6 separate regions of the Mus musculus genome follow, and all the other regions are reported to be linked to region 5. The links are microRNA targets in miRTarBase. Many come from high-throughput screens and were not tested one by one. Region 5 holds a microRNA gene; each other region holds the end of a gene's coding sequence.

Evidence for each region. The annotated mature microRNA mmu-miR-1198-5p reads UAUGUGUUCCUGGCUGGCUUGG and lies in region 5 at 1,753-1,774, opposite strand. An mRNA with a match to its seed (bases 2 to 7 or 8) in the 3' UTR can be bound and repressed. Matches are read on the target gene's strand: a 7mer-m8 pairs with bases 2 to 8, a 7mer-A1 pairs with bases 2 to 7 and ends in A, and an 8mer does both.
Region 1: miRTarBase lists Sike1 as a target of mmu-miR-1198-5p. Seed matches in the 3' UTR shown: 7mer-A1 at 1,326-1,332 and 7mer-A1 at 1,366-1,372.
Region 2: the mRNA of Nat8f2 is a reported target of mmu-miR-1198-5p. Seed matches in the 3' UTR shown: 7mer-A1 at 2,002-2,008.
Region 3: the mRNA of Ints8 is a reported target of mmu-miR-1198-5p. The part of its 3' UTR that is shown has no 7-base or 8-base seed match.
Region 4: the mRNA of Il18r1 is a reported target of mmu-miR-1198-5p. Seed matches in the 3' UTR shown: 7mer-A1 at 2,361-2,367, 7mer-A1 at 2,333-2,339, 7mer-A1 at 2,315-2,321, 8mer at 2,279-2,286 and 7mer-A1 at 2,257-2,263.
Region 6: miRTarBase lists Socs2 as a target of mmu-miR-1198-5p. Seed matches in the 3' UTR shown: 7mer-m8 at 538-544.

Annotation. Positions count from the first base shown.
Region 1 is chr3:103,001,314-103,005,421 of GRCm38, forward strand. It overlaps Sike1 (suppressor of IKBKE 1), which reads left to right. Exons shown (of 5, transcript NM_025679.3): 5 at 395-2,601. The coding sequence ends at 496. Among named protein-coding and RNA genes, the nearest start is that of Sike1, 7.6 kb to the left of the region's middle.
Region 2 is chr6:85,864,015-85,868,122 of GRCm38, reverse strand. It overlaps Nat8f2 (N-acetyltransferase 8 (GCN5-related) family member 2), which reads left to right. Exons shown (of 3, transcript NM_053096.3): 3 at 1-2,701. The coding sequence ends at 461. Among named protein-coding and RNA genes, the nearest start is that of Nat8f2, 3.1 kb to the left of the region's middle.
Region 3 is chr4:11,200,617-11,204,703 of GRCm38, reverse strand. Ints8 (integrator complex subunit 8) reads left to right here. Exons shown (of 27, transcript NM_001159595.1): 27 at 121-1,776. The coding sequence ends at 237. Ccne2 (cyclin E2) reads right to left here. Exons shown (of 12, transcript NM_001282943.1): 10 at 3,288-3,399; 11 at 2,357-2,514; 12 at 1-1,719. The coding sequence ends at 1,606. Among named protein-coding and RNA genes, the nearest start is that of Ccne2, 11 kb to the right of the region's middle.
Region 4 is chr1:40,498,332-40,502,428 of GRCm38, reverse strand. It overlaps Il18r1 (interleukin 18 receptor 1), which reads right to left. Exons shown (of 11, transcript NM_008365.2): 11 at 1,575-4,091. The coding sequence ends at 3,739. Among named protein-coding and RNA genes, the nearest start is that of Il18rap, 15 kb to the left of the region's middle.
Region 5 is chrX:7,804,808-7,808,915 of GRCm38, reverse strand. Mir1198 (microRNA 1198) reads right to left here and starts at 1,815; the gene lies at 1,695-1,815. All of the region lies in intron 14 of Gripap1 (GRIP1 associated protein 1), which reads right to left.
Region 6 is chr10:95,409,149-95,413,148 of GRCm38, reverse strand. Socs2 (suppressor of cytokine signaling 2) reads left to right here. Exons shown (of 3, transcript NM_007706.4): 3 at 39-1,659. The coding sequence ends at 496. Among named protein-coding and RNA genes, the nearest start is that of Gm33230, 3.0 kb to the left of the region's middle.

The sequences.
Region 1 (4,108 bases), not on the chromosome of region 5:
GAAAGGCAGAGGCAGGTGGATTTCTGAGTTCAAGGCCAACCTGGTCTACAGAGTGAGTTCCAGGACAGCCAGGGCTATACAGAGAAACCCTGTCTCGAAAAACCAAAAAAAGGGCTGGTGAGATGGCTCAGCAGATAGGAGCACTTGACCGCTCTTCCGAAGGTCCTGAGTTCAAATTCCAGCAACCACATGGTGGCTCACAACCACCCATAATGAGATCTGATGCCCTCTTCTGGCACATCTGAAGACAGCTACAGTGTACTTATGTATAATAATAAATAAATCTTAAAAAAGAAAAGCCAAAAAAAAATTTTTTTTTCCTCTTTCTGGGCCAAAATAGTATGTTCTGACATAGTTTAACAATTAAAACACAGGAAATATCTTTTCTCCCCAGCTTGAAAATAAGGAACTTCGAGAGTTACTGTCCATCAGCAGTGAATCTCTGCAGGTTGGAAAAGAAAGCTCTGTGGCTCCTGCCTCTCAGACCATCAAGTAACTGGACTTCCGAAGGCTGGCTACAGCTTGCCCGTCAGAGCGAGAAGCCGTGCCCTCCTCTCCTGCCGTGTCCAAGAGTCCTGCCGCAGACTTGACTTAGTGTTGGGTAGAGGTATGGGGTGGCAGTTTAGAATTGCCACTTGGTATTCATTGTCCACTAACTAGTTTGGGGTGTACTAGTGAAACTAGACAAGTCCCCCATTGCTGGGACAGAGATGACATTTGTCACTCTAGTCCGGAATCTCTATAAACTGTTACCTGCAGTTCAATGTTGTTTTTCACAGCTTGGAAACACTGAACACTTTTATTATAAGCCAGGATTTTATTTTATATAGGATTATAAAAATTCCTTCTAAGAGTTTTTCAAAGATTTAACTTTTTAAAAATACATATTTGGTGTAAACCTAGATTTTTTTTTTCTTCCACTTGTAAAAGTAGCATGACTTCAAAGAAGCAGATTGGCAGAGTCTCTGAGTGACGTCGCTCATCCATGGGGTTTGATCCTCTCCGGTGCTAGGAGTTGGCACTTTGTGGTCAGGTGTCTTTGCTCTTAATTTGAGAGAATCTATTAGTCCCCAGGAAATACGCTTGAAAACAAGTAAGCCGGGTTCGCGTTGCTCCTCCTCCTCCTCAAGGATCCACAGTCATTCAGAGAGTGCTGAGGAACTTGGGCCTGCCCCATCATGCACAGGGAGCTATTAGATGTACATGACTGTACATGTACATTGGACTTAAATGCCAAAAATAGCTTTTATTTATTTGACCAAGTAGTTTTCCATTCTGTCTGCCTAAGGAGTCTTCGGCTTAGGTAGTTGCCTTGTATGAGACATACACATACACACACACACACACACACACACACACACACACACACATACCTCACTCACAGGTTCCTAGCTCCTAGGCACTTTCATGGACACACAGCTGTGCTGTGCTGTGCTGTGCAGAGCAGCACCACTGGGATGGTTTAGACCGGCATCAGTACTTTGCTGTCTTTCCATCTGCTGGGTTTTCTCATGGAAGCATTTTATTACTCACAGAAAGTTACCACATTCCTGATGCCATGCATTCAGGCAATCAAGAACAACCTGAGATTCTAATAGCTCCCTGTCAGTTCCTTCTCATCTTGGTTTGCTCATATGTCAGGTTTATAAATAATTCCTTTTGCACTGTTTGCCCAGATGGACTTTGGTTTTTGTTCCCATGTTAACTTTCACTCCAGCTGCTCCCCTTGATGTTTCCCCTAAGGGCCCCAAGTGTGTACTCCACAAACCCATTCAGGGGTGGGTTCCTTTACCACTTGTCAGCTGTCACAGCAGGTCCCATCACAGTGAGAGCATTATCAGTCAGTCTATTTCAGCAGTGAGCATGGTGTCCCTTTCTTTATCTGCCTTCTGTTCCCGTAGCACTCACTACAAAGGTCTTTGCATCTAGCTTTCAGAGGAATCTCTCCATTGCAGTCCTGAGGGTAGAGCAAGCTTTCGGTGCCCTGTGTCGTATAAATTCTGCCTGGTGTTAGTGCTGTGAAGGCATTGCAGAGCTAGCACATTGAATGGAGAAAGAATGTTTCACACTTGTGTGAAGATGCTAATATCTCTTGCAATGGGTGGAAGTATTTAGTGTATAAAATTTTAGTATGAAATTATATTAACTAATAAAAACCTTTTTGAGAAGATTTGCTCATTTTACTGAGAAATGAGTCTAAGAAGTTGAGCTGGAAAAAAAAAGGAAGTTTAGCTGAGCAGTGGCGATGTACACCTGCAATCCCAGCACTTGGAAGGCAGAGGCACATCTCTTGAATTCGAGGACATGCAGGTTTACCTAGTGAGTCCCAGGAGACTACACAGGGAGACCCTGTCTTGAAAAAAGCAAAAAGAAGTATAGGAGATTTTTTTCACATATTCACATACATAGCAACCATGGCAAGTGTTCATGACATAGATGTCATAAGCAGCTTGCAATTATTCAATATATTCAGCAGTATAAACCTTTGAAAAGCACATTAACAACCTATTCATTGCAGAAGTCCTGAATGTATAATTTACCACTGAAGTCTATTTCCATGTTTCTTAAAATGCACCTAATGAAATAGAAATTTATGGATGGAATCTGGAATTTACATCTTAATAATCATTCCAGAAAACGGCAGTACCGGTTTAAGAACATGTCTGTTAGGGCTAGGAGATGGCTCAGCAGGTCTAAGTGCTTACCATGAAGTCAGATGGCCTGAGTTCAATTCCTCAGAACCCACATGAGGGAAGGAGAGAACCAACTTCTAAAAATTACCTTCTGACCTACAACACACAAACAGATAAATTGTGTATGATGTTCTGTGCAAATTATTTCACTAGGAGTTAAAAACAAACCGACTTTAAAATGAGAAGAGTGGTAAAGGGATATTACAGAGGGGTGGGATATAGCAGCGCTATTCCCCTCTATGCTGCCTGCCCGATAGCAGCAGATAAATTGGGCATGGTGGCACATGCCTGTAATCCCAGAATTTGGAGCAGAAGCAGGAAGAGCAGAAATCCAAGGTCATTCTTGGCTACATAGTAAATTCAAAACCAGCCTGGGCTACAAGAGACCCTGTCTCAAAAAACTAAACAAAATGTTGTGCAGATAATTTTGATGCAGTGTGTTACATCAGATGTAAGTGTAGGATACAGCACAGAAAGGGCTGTGTTATTTGAGAATCTAAAAGTTGACCAGGGAAGGGGGTGGGGGAGGGGTGGTGCTAGGAGAAAACATAGAAAACAGCTGCAGAATCGAAGTCCAGGGGGTCCTGCAATGGTTACTTCCTTATACTAAGGGGTTTTCTGTGTCAGCTGACACAGCATCCCCGCTTCAGTTCTTTACAGTTCCATACATACTAGAAGGTTCTAATTTGTCCAAAGTGGAGCCAAGAATCACACTCAGGCACTCTTCAGCACATTTCTTAAGGACCAAGTTAAGGCACCTTTAAATGCACATAACTGTGGAGTTCATGGATCTTGATCGGCAAAGTCAGTCAACAGGTTAATTAACAGGGTAAGAGAGACACTATGGCCTGTGTGTTGTGAATACCGTGACTTCTGTTTAGTTCACGCTGCTGCATGGTCCCTAGAATGCTGTGCCTGTGAGTGGTCCTCAGTGTGGAGGGAAGGGTGCATTTCTGCACAGGGTGCCTTTTTCCACGTTGGCTCCGTCTGTGATGCTGTTATCTTGTTATAGGCTACTGCTGTGTCAGATGTCATGCCCATGTGGAAGACAGGGAAAAAATAGAAAACTGCCTGCCCTACACTACAGACACATGGGGAAAGCAAACGTTTCCAGAAATTCTAATGGAGTTCTCTCCATATCTGCCTCACTTATTAAATAGACATGTCTAATTGCAAAGGAAGCTAGGTACACAGCCGTGCCAAATAAAATCAGTATCCTCTTAGCAAAGAGAAATCATACTGAGAAAACAGTAAGGCCTGATTGTTACAGTAAGGCATTTTACCGTAAATATAATTTTTAACAAATTAAAATTATTAGCTGCAGGGATGCCTACGTTGAGTCACTAAGAAAATGAGCTGTAGTGGACACTGTTATTTCTTTACTGACTGCTCAATGTCCTACCCATGCCTGGGTA
Region 2 (4,108 bases), not on the chromosome of region 5:
TGGCTAAAAGTTTGCAGGCAGATCTTGCTGACATCACCAAGTCTTACCTGAATGCACATGGCTCCTTCTGGGTGGCTGAGTCTGGAGACCAGGTAGTTGGCATGGTGGGTGCTCAGCCAGTCAAGGACCCTCCATTAGGGAAGAAGCAGATGCAGCTCTTTCGCCTGTCTGTGTCCTCACAGCATCGAGGACAGGGAATAGCAAAGGCACTGGTCAGAACTGTCCTCCAGTTTGCTCGGGACCAGGGTTACAGTGATGTTGTCCTTGAGACTGGCAGTGTGCAACATAGTGCTCAGGCTCTCTACCAGGCCATGGGCTTCCAGAAGACAGGCCAGTACTTTGTCAGTATAAGCAAGAAGTTAATGGGTCTTTCTATTCTTCAATTCTCTTACTCTCTCCCTTTTGCTTCAGGACCAGGGTATAGTGGGAAATATTTAAAAAAAGGTCCCATTCCATGCTAGCACCAGGTACTCTCTGGCCCCAGTGGTCTCACTGCCTCCATGGCTTGTCCTATGTAGCAACTGCCCATCTTGAGGATCTCTTGCTGGGGATTGTAACCTGGTAAAATCAAAAGTCTAGAGGCTTGTGATTTATCAGTCAGATTTAAATTAATAAATTCTCAACCCACAAAATGTCCCCACAATGAATTCAAAACTCAATTGAAATAAACTGAGGCTACACACCTAGATGGGGCAAACATACCCTATTTATTATTTAATCATCTATCCAATAAATTCCCAATATATATGGCTCCCAGGACTGTGTGCTTCTGGCTTCTCATCCTCTCCTATAGTTTTGATTTTGTCTCCTGCCCTGTGTCTCTTCTTCTCTCTAATATTTCCTGTTACACAAAGGATGTGATCCTTTTTTGATTTGTGTGTCCAGAAGGCTTCAGTTCACTCTGCTCTAGGAACAAGCCACTCCTGGCAGTTTCCCAGTACCAATCCCAAGGGCTCCCTTTGCACTCCTTTCAGATGCAGCCATGCTGGTGGTGACCTGTGGGTGTTGGCTCCATTCTGCCTTTTTAAGTATCTCTCTTTCGTCTTTCTAGTGCCATGATAAGATAGCACAAAACCCAACTGAGTCCATCCTGCACACAGTTCACTTAGGAATCTGTTAGCTGTCAGTATCAGCTAGGTGGTCTCAAGACTTCAAGGCAAGCAACCTTGCTGAGCTGAAGTTCCAGCAGCTCACAGGATTTAAATCTAAGACTTGTGTAGAAATGGAGCCTCCACTGGTAGAGGCACAGCACAGATCAGGGTGGCTGCACTGAGAGCACTGGAGCAACGAAGCCTGTAACTTACACCTAAGCCACCTCTGTGCAGAGGGAGGAAGGGGACCTCTGATGCAGTGAGAGTAACTTTGAATGGCCTCTCCTGGTGGAATGATCCCTCCTGGCCTCTTGGTCCCAGTCTTATGGGAAAGCACAATTAAATGCATGAAATGTACTTGGGGATTCATGAAGATGAAATGGGATCAGGAATTGTATGAATATGTCACCCTAGGGAAAATGCCTGGACCAACTGGCACTCGAGTAGGTTGGACATCAGTGGGCTTCCAGTGCTCCTGGATTTCCTCTGTAAAAAGTTAAAATGGCAGTTCAGGAGTTGGAACAGCACTGTAGAGTGGAGAAAGGCAGTCTCAGAACTAATAAAGTTGTTGGCTGAAGATGACCCTGCTAGGCATAAGAGACTTCCAGAATTGTTAAGGAAAGGCCCAGAGGGACATCAAATCACAGATGTGGTTTCCACTGCTTTTGGTTGCATGTTGGAACTGGAGAACTCCTTGCTGAGGACATGACCTGTTTGGTTTCAGGACACAGAAGAATCAACAGAGAGTGACCTGGAACAGCCTTGTGTGCTCGCTGGGTTTCTAGTGCCAAGAGGCTCGATCCAGGCTGCTGAGGGACAATTGTAGAGACAGTCTTGCTCCCTGTGCTGTGTTGTTACTTGCCGGGAAGATGTATGTTGTAGTGTTATAGTGGCATTGTTATGTTTGCACACACATACTTTCTGATTAAGGCCTCCATAGGTGGATATTCCCATTGATTATTCTAAATCAAGACAAAATTATGTGATGTGCAGGCCACAGGCCATAGTAAGAAGACTAGTACTATTGTTTTAGTTTTTATTAAGCAGATATAAACTTTTATCAGCTTGCCTTCATTTCTTTTTATGCCCAATGACTGCTGTACCAGCATCACTTGTAAAGGGAGCCTTTTTCACAGTGAGAGGTAGTCACTCCAGAGACTCATAATTTCCCTGATTGCTGAGCATAACTGACTGATCCTTTGATATAATCCGATATTGGGTCATAAATGGAAGAAAATGGATATACACAAACACACACACACACACACACACACATCACCTGCTCCAAGGCTTGGAAGAGTTATGGAAGCGGATGCATAAAGATTTAAGATCTGGAGTGGGTGGGATACCCTGTATCTCTCTGGTCTGAATTGAAACTTCCCCTTTTAGGGGGCTGACAGAGGCCCAGGAGACTCTGGAGAGCGTTCCTCTCTGATGTCACCCAGGCAGTAAACATTTATCAGCAGAGAGAAGCCTCTTAGGAACCCCAGGGTTGGAGGTTTGTAAGTCATTACCAATGCAATGGCCATACTGCCTGGGCAACCCGTGCTCCTGTAAGTAATCCCTCAGCTGTGCTCCTGTGCTCCAATAAACTGTTTCATCAAACTTGACTCGGGTGGATCTGTGTTTGGTTGCTTGGTTACTTAGTTGCTTGGGTCTGTCATAGTGCCTGGATGATGAGAATAGATGTTCATTCACATTCCCAGGGAAAGTCAGACACAAAACACCCAAAACCAGATGGTTTTACTCATTTTGTACCCACTTGGGAGGGAAGCCAAATGACAGGAACAGAAAGGCCAAGCAAGTCCAGGGTGGAAAGACTGCCAAAGTGGGCAATCAGCATGTCCTTGGCACCTGGGCGAGCTGTGTGACCCTTCACCTCCTTACTGGAATCTCTCCTGCTCAGGGACTTGGCTCCTGGACACAGCCTTAGCACTCTGCTGGACCTCCTTGCCAATGCCCCGCTCCTTCCTCTACAGGCATAGGAGCAGCCCAGCGACAGCAAAAATTGCTGGCAGCATCCAAACATGCCACACTAATAGCCATTGACATCCTCCCACTCTCTCCCCCCCCCCCCGCCATTATCATTACAATCTCAGCAACTGCACTTTCAGCTAAGAGGAAAGGGTGACCCTTTGTCCTTTGTATTCTGTCTGTCATGGAGAGTTATTTCTATGCCTCATGTCATGTGTTCCCCTCAAGGGTAACACTAGCTGCCATGTTACCTGATGAATAGAAGGGGGAACATGGAGCTTTTTACACCAGAAAGACCAGTACCAGCACATAAATGTCCACCCTAACACAGGGTCTTATCCAAGTGCCATTTACCCATCTCCAGGAGGAAGGGAGCAAACATTCATCAGTGGCCTAGTACCAATTCTTCATAAGTTAGTAGTGCTTCCCCATCTCCTCCTGAAGGATGCAAAGACAGAGCCCATGCTGTGCTGATGGCTGCCTGTATCTGTGGATGGGATTGGCATCACTCAGTCAGCGCGGCTAATACAAGAAGGAAGATGCACTGGAGTTGGGACGTCTACACAATAAATAGGAAATTGTGCCAGGAGCTCTGAGCCAAGCTGCTCAGAGTTAACCTGGGAAAATGGAGGTGGCCAGAGTTTCAGGAGACAGAAACAGGAAGCAGTGTCTGCTGGGGATGCTTGGGATTTGATAAATATGGTTATGCACAACACTTTTGCTGGAGCAATGGCCACTAAGTCTTACAGTGTAACCATCGGTTAAGCTCATGTTGTATACCTTTCATCTAAAAAAAAAAAAAAAAAGACAAAGGAAAGAGAATTGTTTGGAAAAGAATAAACTCAAATGCTCAAATGCTGATTTCCAAGGTTAGAAAGAGCAAACTGTGGGTGGAGTTTTTGTAATAATGGAGTGACTGTGGCCAGAGCCAGTGGCTGGACCACTTTGACTCTGACTGAACTAATGAACTAATGAATTTTACTGTGGGTTACTTCCAGGAATGCCGGTGAGAGGGTACTTACAGGAGCAGAAGTGACTCACAA
Region 3 (4,087 bases), not on the chromosome of region 5:
TGTGATGCCATTTTTTTCTGTAGTTTTTAATTTGATTTAGTTAACTTTAACTTTGAGTTATGTGTACTACTGTGACAATTTTTTTCAGTCAAACTTCTAATAACACTTTTCTGTTTTAAGATCAAAGCCATTGGCCAAACAGAATTGAATGCAAGCAACCCTGAAGAAGTATTACAGCTGGCAGCACAGAGAAGGAAAAAGAAGTTTCTACAAGCAATGGCAAAACTTTACTTTTAAGCAGTTAGTTAATTTTTTTTCAATTTTATTTTTTAAACAGTGGGCTAAAAGTAAACAGTATTAAAAGATTAAGTTTATATAATACATATGTACAATTTAGTGGTGTTTTCTTTTTAGACCAAAACAAACTGAAACAAATTAGTTTATAAACAAATTATACAAAAACTTCATATCTTAACAATAGTTTATAATTTCTTCAAAGAGAGACAAGGTTCATGCCTGGTACCATTTTTTTTCTAATGAAATTAACTTTTTTAGGCCCAAATTTCCTTTTCAAAGGCTAACTTAAAATATTTAATGTATAAGTAGCTATTCTATATACAGCAAGTTTAAATAAATAAATTTCTAGGAGTAAGTATACATTTAATATTTTCTGCCATAAGAAAATAGTTTAGGTCATATGTTAAAGTTTTTTCATGTTGACACAGTCCTCATCTCATAATATGGGGCTTAAAAATGGACCACCAGTTTTGCAAACATAAAGCGCCTTAGAGATATCTTAGTGTGCAATAAAGTGACTTTCTTATATAGTTTGAAAAAGTGTTTAATTTTACCCAAATTGTGATACACAAAAAGATTATAAAGCAACCTTTCTATCAAGTAAAACCCCCGAGTAGAAGAAGCCAAAGCATTTATATCTTGTTTATAATTTCTTTGGTTCTCCCATTTAGAGCACAGTTTAAACATTTGGTTCAGTGCCTTACTGATTAAGAAATATGGCAAGGCAGACAAACTAGTTCAAAACAGATTGAACTTTACCATTCATAAAATTCAAGTTTTATCGTTTGTTACAAACTGCTTTAGATAAATTAGTCACTTTATTACAAAACAACCTTTGTAAATAAGCTTAAAATTTATTTTCAAAAACAAATTGCACCATTCAAGAGTATAGGAATTTAAGAATATAAAATCTAGATTCAAAGTTCTGTGTCAGCTAATGTATCCTTTAAGGTAGCACTAGTTTAGTCCATATTCCAATGATAAAATTCCTAGTTCATCAAAAGAAATACAGTAACACTGAATTTTAAAGAAACACAGTAACAAACAGAAACAACTGCTATAGCTTAAATTGTTGGCTTCCATCCACTATCCTTGGGAGTGAAGTCACCTTTGTAAACAAGTTCTCTTTTATAGGAAATACTTCTTTAGTGCCAATTTTTTGAAGTTTTTGTTTTGTTTCCTTTTGTAGTGCTGGGGATTGAACCCAGGATTTTGTGCATCCTAGGCATTTAGTGCCAAATTGATATAGTTTTTAAGTAAAAGAATGGCAGTGTAACTCCTTAGACAAGGATAGTTACAGCACTACTTTTCTGTAAAACTCATTTATATGAAACTATCCATTATTTGTTCAATTCCAGGTTGTTAACTTCAGTGTTTTCCTGGTGGTTTTTCAGTACTCTTTGGTGGTGTCATAATGCCTCCATTACACACTGGTGACAGCTGCCCTCCTTTTCTGTAGATGTTCACATAGTTTACTTCATTCTGTACATGTGAAGAAATTATTCAGTAATTAACAGTTAAGATAAACTAAGTATGTAGTAATACCAGACCTCTACCAATTTTTTCTATCCAAACTTAATTTTAGAGTCTCTATCTTTGTTGGGGGCTGGGGGGTGGTACATACCTTTAATCTTAGCACTTGAGAGGCAGAGGGATCCCCGAGTTAGAGATCAGCCTTGTTTATTTCAACAAAACTTTCTAATTTCTTATCTGGGCTGCTGGTCTTGATTTTAAGCTGCTTAACAGTAATATTTTTCTTGAGATAGGGTCTTACTATGTGGCCTGGGAACTTATGATCCTCCTGCCTCAGCCTCCCTAGTACTAGTTAGTGTGCATCCTAGGCCCTTATCATCAAGTCTGCCTTAATTTAGTTATCTCCCTTATATTTTAAGTCAACATGGTCATTACTTTCCCATTTATCATCTTAAATAACTGTCTTAAGTAGTAATGCACAGTAGTTTCAGACCTTAGATAAACTTTGCTAACTTCTACCCCATTAGTTTCAGGACTTAACTAAATAGCACGATTTTTAAAAACAATGAAAGATAAGGCAGCAAAAAAAAAAAAAAAAAAAAAAAAAAACAACCTCCCATAAAACACATAAAACAAAAAACCATACCAGCAAAGCCAAATAATTTGTGTGTGTCTGGATATTGTGTCTATCTTCCATGGGTATCTTCTTAAAAGTCTTCAGCTTCACTGGACTCACACTTTTTACAACACTAACAAAAGGCACCATCCAGTCTACACATTCCGAGATGTCATCCCATTCCAAACCTAGATTTAAAAAGTTAATACAATGTTAATCAAACTGTTCCTTACATGACGTTAAAGCTGAAAAGAATTAATAGTTTTCTCAAGGGTCATTCTGTAGCACAGGTTGGCTTCCCTCTTGATTTGGCCTCAGTGCTGGGATTATAGGATTTGCTACTCATCTGACTCTCTTGAGGGTAGGTGTTTTTTGTTCTTGTTTTTTGCTTAAAGATTTATATTTATGTGAATGTGTATACATGTACACAAGTGCCCAGAGATCAGAAGAGTGTTAGATATTCTGGAGCTAGAACAAGATATGAGGGCTAGGAAACAAACCTGGGTCTTCTCCAAGAACAGTATGTGCTTTAAACCACTGATCCATTTTTCCAGGCTCACTTCTAAGCTTTTAAACCAGTTTCTATTCATACAAATTAAAATTGTGGTATTTGATTTCCACTTGGCTGGGAATTTATTTTCTTTTATGACTATGGAAATACACTAAGGGTTAAGTACTTTTAGCAAAATAAAAATCAACTAAATTGTTTTATTTTGTGTTTGGTAAGGTATTAAGGTATCTGTAGTTCCATTAAAAGTTGTGAACAGCCGGGTGTGGCGGCGCACGCCTTTAATCCCAGCACTCGGGAGGCAGAGGCAGGTGAATTTCTGAGTTTGAGGCCAGCCTGGTCTACAGAGTGAGTTCCAGGACAGCAGGGCTACACAGAGAAATCCTGTCTCAAAAAACCAAAAACCAAAAAAAAAAGTTGTGAACAGGTACAAAGTCAACAAAATAGTCTTACCTGAAGCTTTCTTAACCACTTCAATGGAGGTAAAATGACATAAGGCGGCAGCAGCCAGAATTCTGTATTGAAATTCTAAAGAGTCGATGGCTAGAATGCACAGATCTAAAAGCTAACAAGGAAAAAAAAAAAGGTAATTTAAGAGAAACATAAATGAGTCCCTATTTTATATATAACTATAAAGTAAATAAGCTACCATCCAGACTCAGAATTGCAGGAAAGGGAGTAAGTTCTAGGAGCACAGTGATAATGTTAGAAGGGTGAGCACTTCATCTAGATTGGAAAAAGCTTGTGAGGGCTTTTGAATTAGGTAACGGGCTAGGCCAGAAAATTGGTGAGAGAGAATGTTTGAAACAGAACGTTGCCAAAGGTAATAATTCTCATGAAATAATAAGCAAGGAAAACCTTTGTTCCTTATCCAAGGTGGGCAGTGGAAAGCAAGGAAATCTAGTAGCTTTGTTACATCATACAGGACCTTTACAAGTTGGAGCACTACTACTTAAGCCCACTGTGGGATTTTAAATCAGCAGTTTCATTTTTAAAAGGACGCAGTAAACTAGACAGACTAGGATGCAACATTTTATTTTATTTTATTTTGGTTTTTCGAGACAGGGTTTCTCTGTGTAGCCCTAGCTGTCCTGGAACTCACTCTGTAGACCAGGCTGGCCTCGAACTCAGAAATCCACCTGCCTCTGCCTCTGCCTCTGCCTCCTGAGTGCTGGGATTAAAGTCATGCGCCACCACGCCCGGCTTAGAATGCAACATTCTTAGCAACTAGCTAGGTAAGTGGTGTATTATCT
Region 4 (4,097 bases), not on the chromosome of region 5:
GAGCCCACTGACATGTTCATTATCCGTTACTGAGCACACACACACACCAGGTCGTAACAATTACATATATAAGCTAGGAGTGGCATTCTCTGAGTTTATATGTCTCCCACCAGAAACATAGTAGTTGGCTGGAAGCTCCCAGCCTGGGCTCTGACTGCTATTTCTGTGGCACACGGATGCAGTAGAAAGGGGCCCTGTCCTTCCCACAGAACACACATAGACCGTTTCCTGTTAGCTCTGTGGCTTGGTCACTCTGAAGAGCCTCCTTCCCCCAGCCCCGCTGCACTGTGCTAGAGATCACACACGCATGGAAGTTCCTTCTTGAAAATATGATTTTCCCTAGCTTTCATTTCTTCTTCAGAGCCACACTTCAGGAGCCGGTAGCTCCTGAGATCCTTCCCAGCAGCCTCCACCCACACTCACACTTCAGTGAGTCCCTTGGCTGCCTTGTCACTGATCGTCGCCTCTCTAGTCTTCCCTCCATGTATCTTGGGGATACTATGTAGAGTCATGTCTCACTTAGGAAATGCTTTCATCTGGCTTTGTCTTTTTACCCCAAGCTGAATGGCGTATAAGGAGCCCTGAACAACCCCTTGCTCTTTCCCTATTCTGAGCCACGCCTAATGCCATTAGTGGCCTGAGTGTTTGCTGTAACCAACCACATCCAGCTTGTACTTGAGGATGTTCTTGTGCAATCACAGGAGGGAAGTCATACCTGATATTATCAACATGGTCACAAGGCCAAGGCTAGCATAGCACGTAGGGTGGGACCAACTATTGTTAAGTTGCTAAGTGCCAATATTGTCAAAACTCCTTTTAAGTGTCTATGTTTATGCCTGTGGACCTTGGCTTCTCTCAGCCTTGATTAAAAAAGCTTTCTCTTTTTTTTTTCGGTGAGTGGCAGTCAATGCAAAGAAAGACTCGTAACAGATCAAAGTTCTGAGAGCAAGTGAATCTGAGTGCTCAGCCCTGATTAGACATCTTTGTTAGCTCCACCTTGCCTCCTGCCAAAGCTCAGGGGCCATCCTGGAAGAGGAGGCAGGAAGAATGGGAGAGCTGGAGATTGCACAGCAGCACAAGACCAAACCAGCCAACACTGCAGCATCCATGGGAAAGATGTCATGAGGTTTCTGGCTCTAACTGTTGGCAGATGATAGCTGCTGGGGGAGATAGAATCGGTCTTCTTTGTAATTGTGGTTCCTAGTTAGTGTGTGCATGTTCTAGTGGGTGGCCCCATGCTGCATCTACAGGAAACACTAACTGGACTTAGGTTATTTCAAAACTGAGGGCGATAATTACGTGGGGTACATGTTGGGGAGAGGTGGCAAGAGAGAATGGGTGTGGGTATAATATTTCACTGTATAAAATATGACGTTCTTAAAGAGTAAATTTTTCAAAAATATACACACAGGATTTTAAAGCGATAGTTGCAGATGGGCTGTATTAAATTTCCCTCAGCTCCTTACAGCAGGTGGGGATCCATGGTGAAAACCAGGCAGTGCAGTGTTCACCAAAACAAAGGAAAAGGATGTCAAGAAACCTCAGGACAAATGAAAAGGACATCAAGAGACATCTCCAGTCTAATGTATGTATTTGGCAGATTTAATACAAAATATATTTCATATAAAATAAACTTCATGTGTCGAAGCTTGGCTGATAGAAGAACAAAGCGAAGTCTCAAACTCTCCCAACTCTCTTCTGATGCTAGGTTTTCACACACAGCTGTTGTGACAGCAGATGTTGAATGAATTTACCTTCTTTTCTCAAGTCAGTCAAATAGCACATGAAGTCATGAGTTACAAAAATTACTTAAGAATCCCCATTCTTCTTGTTTTTTTTTCTGTTTCCTTTCCTTTCATTTGGTTTGGTTTGGTTTTCCTAAAATCTACTGTGTTTGTTCAGCACAGTCTCTGCTCTAGACTTCCCTAGAATATTCTTGCTTCACTCAGGCACTTGCAAGGTCACAAGAAGCTTTGGGCTTCTCTGAATCTTCTTTTTTATGCAAGGGTAGCATACACCTACACACACACAGACAGACAGACACACACACACACACACACACACACACACACACACACACATGGGAGCGGGGGGCAATTCCCACAGACAGCTACTGTTTTGAACCATGGAGGAGGCCCCAGTGTGACAACTCTCTTTAGAGAAACAAAAGTATCTTCCAGTGCCGAGAGATGCATATTTCAGCAGGAGGTGTTGTGTGTGTGTGTGTGTGTGTGTGTGTGTGTGTGTGTGTGTGTGTATGTGTGTGTATGTATGTTTGTATGTGTTTCTGTGTGTGCGGTTCTATGTTTGTGTTTATGTGTGTTTCTGTTTGTATGTGTGTTTTTGTATGTATGTATGTTTATGTGTGTATGCTTATGTATATTGTGTTTCTTCTACTGCTATGTTTCTCCTCTGCCCTCTCCACTTGTTGCTCCTATTTGTAGACCCATTTCCCAACCTGCTCTCTGGCTCCCATTCCCTCTACTGTGGAATCACTGAGCCAATGAATGAGAGCAGTTACTGCCATCAACAATAAGAGCCATGTTTACAGAGTAGTCTTTAGTGCCCTTGGGAACTAGCTGTATTTACTTTAAACTCTGATTTTAGAAATGAGTAAACTGAAGTATGAGAAGTTGGATAAAATTCCAGAGCTCACAAAATCCAAGATTGTCCATCAAATTTGGCTGCACATACCACACCGTCAACTGCCACACCAAAACTGCCTGCATGCCCAGGGCACCAGAATTGGCTCATAAAAACAGCAAGCATTTGTTGATTGTTTGCTACAGTTTAGCAGCTAGTATGATCCTACAGATAAACATTTACACAAAGCCAACAAAAACTTAAAGCCACTAAAGTTGAAAGGCCCACTGAGTTCTCTGAATTTAAACTTCTGTCTGCAATAAACGATATCGCAGGTTCCATTTCAAAGGATGTACGAAAAGGTTGAAGAAACAAGGAAGTCCTGCTTGACGTCTGACTGACTTTCTAAGAACTACCTTGCAACACCAAACTCATCCTGAAGCCAAGTTCCTGGAGCTTTCTCTCATCCCATTTCTCTTGTGTTTCCAGCTTTTTCTCTCACCTCTTGCACCTCCCAAGCCTGGGAGAGAGCCATGTACCCTTGAGATGCAGTAAAGATTGGCTCATAGAAAATGCCTCGGAGCGCATAAAATTCTCCAGTTGGAATCCACTGTTAGTTGAAAAATTCTGAAGAGGTGCCTTATTTAGGGGCATAAATCAGTTTGCCAGCCTACCTCCATCTTGGCTGAATGGAACGGTATGCAGACAGCTCTAGGCCAGCGGTTCTCAACCTTCCTAATGCTTCAACCCTTTAATACAGTTCTTCACACTGTGGTGAAACCCCCAACCATAAAACTTTTTTCGTTGCTACTTTGTAACTGTGAGTTGGCTACAGTTATGAATCATAGCGTACATCTATTTTGGAGATAAAGGTTTGCCAAAGGGGCCACAACCCACAGGTTGGGAATCACTGCTCCAGAGGAAGAAAGAATAACAAACTGATTTCTTGTGAATCCCAAGGCCCCCTCTGCGAGTTCAGGATCACAACCAAGGCTCTGTTTCATCTGTGATGACCCGATGACAACTCTCCTAACTGGGAGTGGGGGGTATAGTCACAAAATTCAGCCTTTTGAACCACAGCTACCGCTGTGAATAGGCACACGCATGACCTCTAGCAGCGCTTCACTTGCTTTTGACATCAAGCTCGTCTGGAGCTCAAGGTGCTGAGAGAACAGACCGCGCCTCCGACTCCTCTCTCCATGGCTTGACGGCTTTTGCGGGCATCAGGTAAACAAGATTCTTCCAGAACCTTGAGTTCATGGAGGGACTGTCAGCCCTCCATTTTAGAACTCTGTAGGACTTCAGGAGTTTCAGCGACGGGGGGAGAAAGGTGATGTTGCTGGCTGGAGTAAACTCAATTAAGATGATCTTAATCTTCCTCTCTACCAGTGCTTCGTGGAGTCCACTCTCGAGCTCACGCCTGGCTCCGTTAGTCAGGTAACTCTGGCTGAGAACGATGATTAGCCTCCGGCTTTTCTCTATCAGTGAATGGATCTCCTCGACAACAGCTGGAA
Region 5 (4,108 bases):
GAAGACAGATACTGTGCTCATTTATGTATACATACATAAAATAAATTAAAAGAAAAAGAAAAGAAAAACTTTCCAGGTTTGCGTTTCACCAGTCTGTTATAATATCAGAATGCCAGGGTCAACAAAACTAGTGTGCATACTCTGTAATGATTTTCCACACATTGTGCCACTGTAGTGACACACAACAGTTTTGGCCACCATGGACTAATGGTACTCTATTTCAGATCGCCTCAAAGATGGGTATGTTGGAAAGAGTAACCAATTTTATTTTTCCCTGTTTGGTCCTCTTCAGAGTGTGCTCGTCTCCTAGCATGCACTTTCTGCTCTTCCTAACCAACTGGAGACTGGAGTTGAGCGACCCCAGAGCCTTTTCATCCTCTTTCCAGCCACTGCTCTTCTGCCTGAAGTGCAGGACAGCCCCCAACCAAGGGCAGCTGCACAGAGGATTGAGACCCACAACGCTTTTCTTTTTTTTTTTTTCTTTCTTTTTGTTTTGTTTTGAGTCAGGATCTCTCTATGTAACCCTTGTTGTCCTGGAACTTATGGAGACCAGGGGGGCCTCAACCTCGCAGAGATCTGCTGGTGCTGGGATTAAAGGCATGCACCACCACCACATCTAGCCCCAGTGTTCTTTTTTGAGACTGAGTCTTGATTCCTTAATGGAAAGAATCCTACCTCAGTTTCCCAAGTAGCTAGGAATAGCATCACTGGGCACAGCTCAGGTGGTTAATCTGTATCTAGAATTGTTAAGTATAACTTAAGTCTTTATTATTATGATTTCTTTGTTTTTAAACATTGTCAGCCACCATCCACTTTTTTTTAAAGATTTATTTATTTATATGAGTACACTGTAGCTGTCTTCAGACACACCAGAAGAGGGCATCAGATCCCATTACAGATGGTTGTGGGCCACCATGTGGTTGCTGGGAATTGAACAAAGGGCCTCTGGAAGAGCAGTTAGTGCTCCTAACCACTGAGCCATCTCTCCAGCCCTTATTAACGATTTCTTTGTTTTGAGAGAGGGTCCCCCTATGTATCTTTGGCTCAAGCTCAAGGAGATCTCTGTGCCTCCATCTCTTTGGAATAAAGACCACCTGTTATGACTGTTTTGGTTTGATTTTATTTTTTTAAACCAAGCTGGCCTCAAAATCACAATCCTCCTAAGGTTTTTATTTTAATTTTTATTTATCTATTTATTTTACATGCACAGGTGTTTTGCCTGCATGTATGTCTGTGTCCCACATGCATGCCTGGTGCCTGTGGAGGCCAGAGGAGGGCATCAGATGCCCCAGAATTGGAGTTCAGACAGTTGTGAGCTGCCAGGTGGGCACTGAGAACTGAATCCCGGTTCTCTGGAAGAGCAGCCAGTGCTCTTAACTGCGGAGGCACCTCTCCAGCCCTGTGTGAGCTTTCTGAGTGCTGGGATTACAGGCAGGAACCACCAGAGTCAGCAGAACATGTTCTCAAAAGAAAGGAAGGTTCTCCTTACTACTATTCCCTGTTCCCTTTCCTCCTTCCTTCCTTCCACATACGATGTAAATATGAAAGTGAAACAGTTTCAACAACTGTTCCTGGAAGCAAAACACAGGTCCGTGTCAAAGGCTGGAAAATAGCAAGAACCGAGGTCCCTGGTGATTGGAGATCCATAATTCAGAACAGATGTGGAGGCTCAAACCTATAGTAGCAGCTCTTAGGAGACTGAGACAGGATGACTGCCATGAGTTAGAGGCTAGCTTGGGCTACACATGAGTACCAAGCCAGCCAGGAACACATAACAGACAACTGTCACAAACAAAATAAACAAAAGAAAAAAAAGAATCCACCATCATTGCTATCATTAATCCCTGAACAGCCTACTTGGTCCATCCTCCTCTCACTTTTGACTTCATTTCCTTCAGCCAAGGTCTCTCACTAAATCTGTCGCTCACAGTTTTTGGATAATCTGGCTAGCCTCCAAGCCCCAACTACCCTGGCATCACCTTGCCACCTTCCCAGCATGGGACTTACAGGCATACTTCTCCCATGGTGCTGGATTCTGAACTCAGGTCTTCATGCTTGCTCTTGTTACTAAGTGCTCTTGCCCACTGAACCATCTCTCCACCTGTGCCCCACCCCCACCCCCTGTGCACCTTGATACAAGTCTCCTATGTAGCCCAGACTGGTCTCCATCTTCCTATGTAGCTAGGATTGCCACGCACAGTCCGCTGAAATCTGCTTGGCAGGCCGAGAGGCCTGGAAGCGCTCACGAGGCAAAGAGTTTCATGGAAACTCACCTCCTGGAGTTTTGGTGTTCTCATTAAACCCATATACTCATACCCTATTTCCGCGTTAGTCTGGTGTATGGATCCACATGCTCTCTTTTAGTATTATCTTATTATAAGTGCCTTTTAAGATTGAATTCTGACATAGCTAAGCCTTCGCCAGTGTTCCAACATCCTAGAAAGTCCTTGAGCTGACCATGGGCTTGGAATTTAGTAAGAATGTTGCCTATTCAGTGATATTGAGAATTGCCTCTGGTATTACACTATCACTTAGAATAAAAGCCAAGTTGCTCCCATATGCAGGAATTTACAATGGTTTAGGAAGTAGATCAGGCTGTGGTTTTAGAGTATTGCATTATTCATGAGATGGTTAGCTAGATCGGAACTCCCTAATCAGAACCATGACTTATGTGTGAAAGCCCTTGCCCTAGGAGTGAAAAGATCTCACACCTGGCTCCTAAAACTATAGCTGACCTTAGATAGAGCTGACTTTGTCTCAGTTATTTTATTGCCCAGTTCCTGCCAGTCTTTGTGTTTACATTCCTCTGTTTTGTGTAAGAGTCATTAAGCATCCGGTAACCTCATTTGTACCTTGCCCATGTGTCACCTAACTTCCCTATTTTCTTCTGTATAAAAAGTTTGATGCGCAATTTGACAAATTACATTCAGATTCTACACAACCTCTTGTGTTTCGTCTGTCTGTCATTCATTCGCCCACTCTTTGCCCACCTGCCCCAGAGACTCGTTCCACGCAGACAAAGGGACCCAGAGGGTCTGTGGCATAGGATGACTTTGAACTTCTTTTTTGTTTTTTTTTTGGTTTTTTGCTTTGTTTTTGTTTTGTTTTTTCAAGACAGGGTTTCTCTGTGTAGTCCTGGCTGTCCTGGAACTCACTCTGTAGACCAGGCTGGCCTCGAACTCAGAAATCCACCTGCCTCTACCTCCTGAGTGCTGGGATTAAAGGCGTGCGCCACCACACCCAGCTGACTTTGAACTTCTGATCCTCCTTATTCTGTTATGTGTGTGTGATCCTAAGAACTGAGATCACAACATAAATATCACAGAGCCTGGTTTATGCAGTGCTTTGAACTAAGCCCAGGGCTTTGTGATATTATACAAGTACTCTGTTAACTAAGCTGTATCACCAGCACTAAACCTTTGTGTGTGTGTGGGTGTGGGTGTGTGTGTGTGTGTGTGTGTGTGTGACAGAGAGACAGACAGACAGACAGACAGGGTCTTATTATGTAGCCATTTCTGTCCTGGAATTCACTACATAGACCAAGCTAGCCTCGAACTCAGAGATCTGCCTCTTAAGTGCGGGCATTTAAAGGCTTGTGCTGCTATGTTTAGCCCCAAATTTCTTTCTTAATCCAGTATTATTCTAGTTTCTCCAGGCTAAGCATCCTTCATCCTAAAACCTAAAATCTAAAACGTTTTTTGTTTCTTTCAGACAAGGTCTTACTATGTAGCCTTGGATGGCCTAGTATTCACTATGCAACCAATACTGGCTTACAGCATATGGGAATCCTCCTGCCTCAGGTACCCGAGTGCTAGGATTATAGGCATACCCCAGTATATCTGGCTTAAAATCTGATTTTTTTTGAGTTAGCACATAAAGCCACATATGGGAATTCCACACCTGACCACCAATGCACACCTTTGATCTCAGCAGTCGGGTGGTAGAGACAGGTGGATTTCTGTGAGTTCAAGACCAGCCTGGTGTACAGAGCAAATACTAGGACAGCTAAGGTTGCAGAGAGCTCTACTTCATCTCAAAAAAGGCAGGAGCACTAAAAATATTTTATAAAATTACCTTCATGCTATATGTATAAGGTATGTTTAGATTT
Region 6 (4,000 bases), not on the chromosome of region 5:
CTTTCTCTTCTTTTTCTTTTTTGAATGAAAAACCCCAGGATGGTACTGGGGAAGTATGACTGTTAATGAAGCCAAAGAGAAATTAAAAGAGGCTCCAGAAGGAACTTTCTTGATTAGAGATAGTTCGCATTCAGACTACCTACTAACTATATCCGTTAAGACGTCAGCTGGACCGACTAACCTGCGGATTGAGTACCAAGATGGGAAATTCAGATTGGATTCTATCATATGTGTCAAGTCCAAGCTTAAACAGTTTGACAGTGTGGTTCATCTGATTGACTACTATGTCCAGATGTGCAAGGATAAACGGACAGGCCCAGAAGCCCCACGGAATGGGACTGTTCACCTGTACCTGACCAAACCTCTGTATACATCAGCACCCACTCTGCAGCATTTCTGTCGACTCGCCATTAACAAATGTACCGGTACGATCTGGGGACTGCCTTTACCAACAAGACTAAAAGATTACTTGGAAGAATATAAATTCCAGGTATAAGTATTTCTCTCTCTTTTTCGTTTTTTTTTAAAAAAAAAAAAAACACATGCCTCATATAGACTATCTCCGAATGCAGCTATGTGAAAGAGAACCCAGAGGCCCTCCTCTGGATAACTGCGCAGAATTCTCTCTTAAGGACAGTTGGGCTCAGTCTAACTTAAAGGTGTGAAGATGTAGCTAGGTATTTTAAAGTTCCCCTTAGGTAGTTTTAGCTGAATGATGCTTTCTTTCCTATGGCTGCTCAAGATCAAATGGCCCTTTTAAATGAAACAAAACAAAACAAAACAAAACAAAACAAAAACAAAATGTCCCAAGGAAAGGCAAGAGAATATTCCTGTCAGAATGACTTGCCTTTGTTTTTTGGGTTCCTATGCACTGGGTCAAAAGTCCAAGCTCCATAGGAGAGAAAGAAAGGCTTCCATTTCCAGGAGGACAGCTGAAGGAGGGAAAGACCCTGGCTGACCCAGGCTTCAGCTCCACTTCTAGACGCCTGGGGTTCAGTCTGTGTTAGAACCTGTTATAGTTTGCATCCTGATGTATCTAGTAGGAGTTCCGTTAAGCTGACCATGCTTGTATTTATCCCTCGTCTTATGCAACTAATCAAATCAACCAAAAAAAGGAAAAAAAAAAAAAAAAAAGAAACGAAAAAAGAACCATCACCATGAGATCCTGTATTTGTCTTTTTTTACTACACGTATGACCTCCCCCGTGAGTGAGTACTGTAGTCCTCCATCTCAAGGCAGCCTTACTTCAGACACATTTCAAACTGGTGCAAACAGAAAAGACTTCTCTCTTTTCTTCTGAGGCTAAAGACAAGAATGTCACGCTATACAGGTGCAACTCAATCCTTGAAAACAGAAACCAATGCAGACAGAGACATTTTACCCCTTGATGTAGCTGTGAGTCCCAACCTAGTGCCATTGTTTTTATTTTTATTTTTATTTTTGGAAATGGCTTTAGAACTTTCCAAGTTATCCTTGAATTGTCTGACCACGGACATCAACAGCTGCCTCCCTTCTACCATGTAGAATCCTATGACTTAACTTTTCTTCCAGATATAGAGGGGTACCTGCCTGTTTTTCAAAGTGTTTATTTACTGCTGTTACTATTTGATTAGAATGTATCAAATAAAAACAAACCTGACTTTTACAAGTTGCACTCATTACTTTGAGTTGTAGGTGTACATTTCCATGCTAATAAAAGGTCGCCATAAAAACTCATTATCAAGTGAAATAAACTAAGCAATCAGCTCAGGGTAGAACATTAACTCGCTTGCCTCCAAATAAGGCCCACACCTGCTCTATGTGTTTTAGAAAGCATGGTTCACAGGCTAGGAATCGTCAAGACAGCCTGATCATGTGCAGGCCGGATGGGCACAATCCTTGTGCATTTCAAAAGCAATGGTTTAGAAGCGATAAAAGTTACGTCAGGGTCTAAACTCTAACAAGTTCCGCAGCCGCTTTCTCTTGGCCACCCAGTCTCACGACTGCTGTAGCATGCCATCTTCTCTAGAGTCTAGACACTATGCCTCTTGCCGCCCTGTACATGTTTCCTGGCCGGGCCGTAGGTTCCTGTGTGTCCAGGGTGAAAGGAGAACCTGGGGCGTCATGTGCACGCTCTAAGTGAATAGGAAATTATAAAAGTGCAGAATAATAGAACTGACTTACCTTGCAGGGTTTGAAGTCCCCAGTTTTACACCAGGAAGGAAACATTAAGTTTATCCAACCTGGATGGATTGCTGGGTGTGGCTTGGGAAGAGCCTGCTTCGCTCTGCTGGGTGGTGGGGCAATACTAGGCTTCCCGCTAGGATACTTAGATCTCCCTTTTGCACACTGATGATGATGGTTCTCTGGTAGAACGCTTGGGCTAGCAAGGGGCTTTGTGGAATCCTTTTCAGGTCTCCCTGCTGTTCCTCAGGTATTGGGAGTGAGGAGGCAGTCAGAAGACCCTGTGCCTGTGGAGTTATGACAAGCTCCCGAGTGTTGCGTTCAGCGCCTGCAGGTGTGTGTGTATTGGGAGCCCAGATTCACTGCTTGGGGCTGTGATATGGATCACCTTATCTAACTCTAGTCCTGATGGCAAGGAAGTTGATAGGCATCAGGGGACAGTTTTGTTTTGTTTTTGTTTTCTTGCTTTATAGTTTTTAATATATTTACTGAGTTCCTTGTGTGCCAGCCTCTGACTCAATACTTCATAATATCTCATTTGATCCTCGGAAGGACCAAAAGAGCAAAGTCCAGGATTTATGGGAAGTGAATAGTTCCACACTGATCCAGTTAACAAGTTAGAGCAGGCTGTAATAGCAGTCTTTTTGCTGCGGCCTCAACCAGACTAGTGCAGATACTGTAATTAGTGTTGCGTCCTCTCTCGCTTTAAAAACATTTTCAAGAAGTGGTTTCTTGGTGCATGTGTGTATGTGTATGCATGTGCCATGTCATATATGTGGGAGGTGTGGCACAGCTTCTCCGTTCTTGCCTCTCGCTGCGTGGGCTCCAGGGATTGGACCTCAGTCTTTACCGACAAGCACCCTTACCCATTGAGACATCTTGTCAGCCCTCCAGTCAGTCTGGCCAATGGCTTTTTTTTTTTTGAAGATCCCTGAAATAAGTGGTAAAGTGGGGGTGGGGAGGGAGTTTGTCCCCTTCCTGGGTGACTACTAAATGATGCCAGGTATCACTGACTGTCCCATCTAACAACAGAAACAAAACTGGATTCACCCAAGGTGTCCTCAACAGAGGCTGGAAAATTTCTCTTTCACTGTTGTTTTTCTATGGGGGGTGGTGTGAAGCATTAGTAAGGACATTTATTATTGAGATTCTAATTGTTGCTGTTCTTGTGGCCTGTCCTGTGCTCTGTCGCAGGATTTGTGTATCCACCCCCGACTTCAGTGACTGCTATGAGTTTCTGTTCAGAGGACGCAGAGGTGAAGGAGCGTATGTCATCCCATCTAAAGTTACCAACACAGATAACAGATGTAATGACATCTGCTTTCTTTTTAGAAACAGGGACCCCCAGTTTGTGTGCGCTTGGAGGTCTTGCTTAGTGTTATTAGTATGAAGGTTTTGACTTCATCGTAATTACATCATTCAAATAGGTGACAGAAAGGGACTGTTGGTTGTTCCACACGGTTTATTTTCTTGGGAAGCCTTTCTTTCCCCTGCTTTTAGAAAATTGTACCCTGCTTGGCGGAGGGTAGGAGACAGACACGTCATCAAGTAATCCAAGGGATGGAATGTCCCGAGAGCAGACTATGCCCTTCTGGTTGTGGGTTTGGGCACAGGGCAGGAGGGGGCTGTGGCTCTAACAGCTGGGCCGAAGCCTCACTGGCTCCCAGAAGTCCTGTCCATCTTCTAGACCTCTACCCAGAATGTGGCTCTGGGCCTGTCATTCCCTCAGAGGCTCTGCGTTCTCCTCATCCAGTTGTTAACTCCCTAGAATCCTGGAGTCCGGAACACACTGTTTGGGTCACTCAGCCCAGGTCCTTTATAGGAACCAGAACATTTC